Linked DNA regions of Drosophila melanogaster. The gene in region 1 interacts genetically with each later gene. Each region holds a gene or a part of one and is shown in the gene's direction. Other genes may lie near its edges.

Region 1 (3,755 bases):
CCAACAGCTGTTAGTCGTTGTTGTTGCGCTGTTAATTGGTAAGTACGCGACATTTCTATCAATCAAACATAAAAGTCCGCGTTCATTTCCATAACAATTTTCCCGTAATATGCTGCGCATGCGCAGGATAATGAAAACGAGCCCACGAGAAATCCCGCGGTGGGAATTAGGGAATCAAAAGAAATCCCACAATAAGCCCCTCGCGAATGCCTCCGCCCACGCCTCTGCATGTGCAAGCGGGATGGCCAGAGGCAGGAAGTTCTGCGTGCGAGCGAGAGGCAGCGTGCACCCTTAGCGCCGCTCATAAATGTCAATGGAAATGAAAAGGCTGATGTTATTGTTTTTTTTCGTTTGTTTTTGGATGGAAAACAGAATGAACAACATGTGGGTTTCGCTTTATTAAACATCGCCTGGAGGAGGAAATGCCGAAGAGGCTCTACACACGACAAAAAATATACAAACATTCTAAAGACTCAAAACACTATGCTTAAATATTTGCAAATTTATTTTAAGGTCTTTCAGCACAATGATGTGATGTATTGATGTATAAATTTAAGGTTACTGTTTGTAATTCATTAAATATGATTGTTTTGCAATTGATTCCAATCCAGTTTGATTACTTTTTAAGTCGAGGTTCATGTCTGAATTTCATTTTTCTGTGCAACCAGAAGGTATTTATAAATTGAGCTCAAAAAAATAAAACGCACGAAAAATGTTCAAAAAATTTGCATATGTCAGTGTAACAAAAAACCGAAATTGATGGATGGAAAAAAGTCGGCGACTGAAAAACACACACTCGCGGGCTTAAGCCAAATAAGCTCTAAACGAAACGAAACGAGTTTTAACAAAATATTTTTGCATTGCTCAAACGCAGCTCAGAGCCGTCAGAGAAACAAACACAAATGCACGCCGGGGCCAAATAAAAGCCATTCAATTAATATCCGGACAGAAAACAACAAACAAAAGTCGCTGCAATTTTTCTGGTTTTATTTGTTTTGCACTGCTCCCATTTTGTGGTGTTTGAGGGGATATGGGAATTCGATAAACAAAATCGAAATTGGCCAAAATCGAAGGGATGTACCTTTTTTTTTCTTATTTTCGTCACCACTTGTTGGTCTTTGTTTATTGTTATTATTCTTTATTGGCACTTTCGGTGGCTGCGACAGCTGCGCGAACTAACGGTACGTGCAAATCGGTTGCGCAGCGCAGACGGATTGGCAACATAACCGTAATCGTTTGTTTTTGTTTTCGTTCTTTCGATCACTATCACTTCATCGATACTTCTTTCCCAAAACAGCACACGTTTACGCACCGAAGTTTTGGGAACACATTATCCATGCTGATATAATCCACGAACTCGACTCGACTCGATTCGATTTGATTCGATCCCTCGCGCGCGCTATGTAAAATTACAGATAGTGGCGCGATTCGGTTGCTTATATAGACTTTTTGCCATTTAGACGGACCGTTTATGGTAGTTTGAAAAATGCATGAAATACATTGAAGAAGCAAATGCTGATTGCCCACCTCTAGGGATCTCGCTCTTAAGGTTGTTGTCCTCGCAAAGCACTGGCGAGGTAAGAAACTTGGCTAAACCAGGGACTGTACGCACACACTGCTTGTATGAAGACGTGAGTACTGCTTGCTTAAGAGTGGGCGGAGCTTATTTAGGCACACTGCTTGCCACCCTTAAGTGAAACTTTGGCCGGAAGTAAAATTAGGGGTTAATTGCACGGCACTTCAGCCAATCAAACCGGGTTTCAGGCCACACTTCAGGTGTTTAGTGGGAAGGGGGTCCTTTTTTTTTATTATTATTATTAGTAAGCAGCATTTTAGGCGCCCCCGCTGCTGCTGTTAATTTTCTGATGTGCCGCGTAATTTGCTTTGTTTTTTTTTTTCACCCAGTTCCTCTGCCGACGTCGACGTCAGGATAAGCGTCGCTTGACCAGCGGAAGTAGAATTATTTGTGGCACTTCAGTCGCTCGCCGATTACCCAAGTGATTAGTTTGGACAGCTAACGCGGCACATCCTCAAACGAAATGCAACGTCACAAAGTTGAGATTGGCTCACCCGACGGCTCGCCGGGCATCAAAAGGAGTGACAGCTTAGATCCCATAGCGAACACTACGATTCTATCCGTGCCGCAACGTCCCTCGTCGCCGCGACAGTTTTTCGAACGTCTGTACGGGCATTTGGAAACGCGCTCCTCGGAAAATGGGGAAATCGACGTCGGAACACACGCCCACAAGCCGCCGCCCTGTGACACGCCCTATCACAGCGATGGAGGAAGCGTCTCCTCGCCAGACATTTCCATCAGCGATGAACGCACCTCGCTAGCCGCATATCCCGCCTACGATTTCTATGGTCACGCCAAGGACTATCCGCAGCATCCTAGCCAGCAGCACCAGCAGCATCATCATCATCACCATCATCCGCCGCAGCTGGTGCACCAGAAACTCAGCTACGTGAGCCCGCCGCCAGCAATTGCCGCCGGTGGAGCTGCGAATCCTGTCCTGCCACACGCATTCCCAGCCGGCTTCCCAAGTGACCCGCACTTCAGCGCCGGCTTTTCCGCATTTCGTGAGTACTTACATTTAAAAAAGAATGGTTTCTAACAATGTGTAGAATATTTGCAAAGCTATGCAGAATCTTTAGAACTACGAAAATAACTTCTTCAGAACCTTAACTCTTACATGTTTATTTTGAGGTTTCTTAGTTCTTACACACTAAGTACAAGAGTAAATTTGAGCTACTACGAATTTGGTCCTAACTAGATATTTAGGTGAGCGGGGATTTGTACTACGGCGGGGGCGAGGATTTCTTTGGCTTTCCCTGCTTCGCTGCTTTCTCCGCCGCCGCCTTCTCCTCCCGCTGCTTAGCCATCTGGCGCAGCTCCAGGCTGAGGAACATCTTCAGGTTCGGGTCGGTGATCTTGCTCAGCACAATCTCTCGCGCCTCCTCATCGTTGTCGCCCAGCAGCTTGGCCAGCGTCTGTGCGTAGTCCAGCCAAACGCAGTTGGCGCAGCCCGACATGCAGCAGGTGGTGGGCTCGGGAGGTATCTGCAAACGATTATATAATATGCAATCTCTTGAGCCACTTTCCTCTTAGGATAGAAAGTTATTTCAGTATTGTGATAACAATTGGATCCTTCGATAATACTGCTCAATAGTTTTAGAAGTTCATAGAACTACACTAAGTTTTGTGTTACAATACTAGATCGATGATCCTTTCTTTCTAATGAACTACAATCTTACCAACTGATATTTAACCTATAATAGCAATGATAACAACTAGCTTACAACATTACCTCTATGTTTCTGAGCCGCTTCCTTCCCTTGGTGGTTTTATCTTTGGCTTTGGGAGTGTCAGTGCCCGTCGTTGTGCTATTGGGCGGACAGCCACTTGCTGCCTCCTGGGCGGCCGCATCCTTGCTGCTGGCATCATCCTGGGAGCTGCTGCCCGACAATTGGCGGGCCAGTGAGGCCCAACGCTCGGCGCCACGTCGCAGGAGCAAGCATCGCGGACAGCTGAAGCCCAGGGGAGCCAACATTTCCGCCCGATCCCCGAAAGAGTTCGAAAGTTACGATTGAAAAGGCCCAGAGGAAGTGATGAGCATTTCACACGCCTGCGCAGGTGCAGCCCAGATGAACTTGGTTCCGCAGGAACTGCAAAAAAAAAAAGTCGGATACGCAAAAAAAAACTGATTAATCGTCAGTGCTGCAATATTGAATATCCCCCACATCTTCGCACCGAG
Region 2 (3,755 bases), on another chromosome or scaffold:
ATAATAGATTTCGGTTTAAAGTAAAAGCCTTTTCAATAAATTTCTCAGTGCTGCATTCCTAGCTGCATTAAGCGGATTCTATATGCAGGAATATTGTAATTTTCAAAACAGTATTTCTCTCAGTGTACCGCATATCAAACGATGATAGATGTGTGAGCGGCATACGGTGAATCCGTTACAAAGCGGCAGGGGATGAGCACGCGCCCTCAGTTCTCCAGATAAACAATATGTATGGGAACGCCGCCAAGCGCAACGATGCCACCAACTTGACTTGGCCAGCCCTCATCGCGGTCGAAATGGTAGAAGCCAGAGTTCCCCCATTTTGGCCCGCTTTTAGGCCGCGTGCCTCGTACCGCTTCGCTAGATCGGCGGCACCCGTGGCGGACACGAGTGCGATGGAATTTCGGTGTCGCCTCAACTCTGCACATGTCCTGCCATGGAAATTGCGCCAAAAACTAGGGGATGGGAACTAAAATTGCTGACAAGGAAAAGGATCGTTAAATGTGGAAGTGTAAGTGTGCGCCCGCCACATTTTCTTGGCTCGTTTTCTAGGCAGGTGTGGCCCGCGCCAAGGATAGATAAACTGGAATTGAGGCGGCCAAGACGAGGTGGCCAAGCGTGGCGAGCTACCAACTCAGGAGGAGGACCCCGAACTCTCATCAAGGATAAGCTCGGAAAAAGGTGCATCGAGCGGTAGAGGGAGAAAGTGGCAGGTGCTCAGTCGTCCTATCTGAGTGGTTTAATAGCTACGATCCAACGAGAAGATGGGGACTTTATGGCTTAGAGTTTGGTATTGGTTTTAAATTGACTGACAAAAGAATTCAGTCTTTTAATTTTATTGAAATGCTTTAGGAAAATACGACGAACTGCAAAGTTTGCATTGAGAAATTTAACAAAAACTTTGTTGAAAGTTAATGTTCTGAAACCAAACCAAACTATTTGTTAAAACGGTTTTAAATGGGAAATCTGATATTTTGATAGCTATTAAATAAAATCTGTCCTAATCTTATGTATTTAAATGTAACATTATTATAATCAAATATGTCATTTTGGTAAGGTAGATTTTATATAGAAATATAACAAAAAAAATTCTACAATAATTTAAATAAAGTTTATATATTTGTGCATTGGTTGTGAAGTAGGTTTACGTCAATCCTCTAAAATGTAATAACACTTTTTATGGATGAAGTCTAAAGCTTAAAGATTAAATTCACGATGTTGCTTTAAACTATTTACCCTTATTGGGAGAAGCGCAAATAAAAATGAATTTAAACTTAATTTCTCCTATATTTTACTCGCAATGTATTTTTAATAATTAATACAAAAATTAATTTTCATCACATTCAAAATTAGGAACCCATTTGTAATCCTTGTCAAATCTAAAGGTAATCTAAACAGTATCTACAAACATGGAGAGTTGCCACGACAGATGTTAGATCCTTGGATTCATCCACCTAAATATTTGTATGCTACCCCGCCCCATCCCGCCCTCGTCCTCTCCCCCCTTCCACCGATCAGCAGTGAAATCCTCTGCCGATTGCTGGCCCTCTCTCGCTTCTTCTCCCTTGGCCAAAGTACCGATCCCGATATTCCTGAGCCAACAACAGTTGGTGGCAGCAACAGAAAGAGCAAAGGCAATTGTAACTGTTACAGGGCAGCGGGAAAAGGATAACAAACGCCCGCCAAACTTTAAGTGCATACCAATTAGTAGGGAAACGCGTGCTGGAAAACCAGTAGTAGATGGGCCAAGAGGATACGAACGCAGGGGGTTGGGGTATCGAGATCGCCAGGGGACTCCTAACTGTGCGTCTTGACCCATACAACATGGAACACAGGACTGCAACTGCCGCCAACTGCTGCCAAAGGTGAAAAACCAGAGTTGGCAACACGAACACCAACACCAACAATACATTGCAGGGCTCTCGAGAGCCACCACCAAAAGAGTCAACACCAATACACCGAGGGCTCGTTTTGATTCGGCTTGCTGCCGCACTCACACAGTGCCACAAGTAACCACAGTCGCACACAAAAATAAAAAAAAGAGAGCTCGATTTGTACCTTTTTTTCGGGCCAAGTCGCTTCACCGTTGGCTCAATTTAGAACTGAGCCATCGACCAAAGATTCAGTCAGGTGCGAAGCACCGAGCGATACGGACGTGTTCGTCTCCAGTGAGTCAAGATAAAACCGCACTGAATAAGACCCATCGAAGATCCGTTCGAATCCAAGATCACAACGCCAAGAAAGTGAGATTTGTGCAGTGAACAGTATTGAGAAAAATCACAATCCAAAGACTGTTAAAGCAAATACGTAAATCAGATCCAGTGAGATTCCAAAAAGTAAAGATCCAGAATCAAAATGAATCACCTATCGCCGCCGCCATCGCCGCACTCCCAGCAGCCGAGTCCCGCGGGATTGGGCTGCCATGGAGCAGCTCTGGACAAGCAGTGGATGCAGCGGGCATCCGCCTTCAACACTGTGATAGCCTCCGCCGCAGCACAGAAACTCAATGGTCGAGGTGAGTTCCCGATCTGGATTGACAGAAAAATATATGGGGCAGTAAAGATAGCAAAAAGATTAGCTTATAGCTTTTTAATCGTTTCGAATTGTATTTAAAAGATCACTCGATTTAAAATCAAAATGTTAACACTTTCAACAGATCAGAAAAATTATGTTAACTTTACTGTAGTTCTTACCAATACAAGAGTAACTTTATATTGATAGGCATCCTGAGGATACTTTTCCTTCCTAATCTTAATCACTACTATTCAACTGATTCGTTAAATTTGCATTTCATAGATCTGCCCTTTTTGTACAACCCGCTGCTCTACTCGAGTGCCCTACTGTGGCCCCAATTTTTGTTGTCCTCGGCCACGGCTCTGGGTACACCACTGACCCCCATGACCCCCAAATCGCCCGCCTCTGTGGTTTTGGGTCAGCGGGATCGTGACTTTGCCTTGACGCCCGAAAAGGAGCATGAACTCCAAATGAACAATAACAATGAGAACAGCAAGCAGGACTATCAGGAGCAGGATGAGGATATGCCACTAAATCTAAGCACCAAGGAGCGCATCACATCGGATGATTCCAACCGAGATCAGTATCACAGCAGCAGCAACAACAGCAGCAGGAGCAGTTCCAGCAGTGAAGTGGAGCAACTGCATCCGATGACCTCGCTGAACGTTACCCCGCCTCCCCTGAGCGCTGTGAATCTAAAGAGTTCGAGTACACCACAGCAACAGCGCCAGAGATCGCAGGGTAACATCATCTGGTCACCGGCCTCGATGTGCGAGAGATCGGCGAGAAGGGAGCAGTACGGCCTGAAGATGGAGGAGCAGGGCGATGAGGAGGAGCACCAGGTGGATCCTATTGTGCGAAAGTTCAAGTATGAGCGCAGAACTGCATCCATATCCTCGCTGCAATCGCCGATCTCCTCGCTGTCCGCTCCCGCCTCGAATGCCGTCCAGGATCTGGAGTTCGAGGTGGCCCAACAGCAGTTGTATGCCCATCGCAGCGCATTCATGGCCGGATTGACGGGCAACAATCTGGAGCTGCTCACCCAGCACTTGAAGCTGAAGAGCGAGCAGCCGCAGCAGCAGCAGCAACAGCATCGCATCAAGGACGAGCAGCAGCAGGATAACCGCTCGGCAGCGGCACTCATGAATTTGGTGGCAGCCGCCGAATTCGGCTACATGCGTAATCAACACCAACAGCCGCAGCAGCAGCAGCAACAACAGTTGCATCACCAGCAGCAGCCG

Evidence for each region.
Region 2: of ro (region 1) and sens, changing one suppresses a phenotype caused by changing the other (phenotypic suppression), as found in Drosophila melanogaster (one study listed by BioGRID).

Annotation. Positions count from the first base shown.
Region 1 is NT_033777.3:26,879,390-26,883,144, reverse strand, and holds the start of ro (rough), read left to right. Parts: upstream 1-1,973; 5' UTR 1,974-2,039; coding exon 2,040-2,580; intron 2,581-2,685; exon of another isoform or gene 2,686-2,799; coding exon of another isoform or gene 2,800-3,060; intron 3,061-3,308; coding exon of another isoform or gene 3,309-3,551; exon of another isoform or gene 3,552-3,666; intron 3,667-3,755. Other genes in the region: CG5500 (uncharacterized protein), read right to left, coding at 2,800-3,060, 3,309-3,551.
Region 2 is NT_037436.4:13,399,508-13,403,262, reverse strand, and holds the start of sens (senseless), read left to right. Parts: upstream 1-2,137; 5' UTR 2,138-2,355; coding exon 2,356-2,515; intron 2,516-2,796; coding exon 2,797-3,755.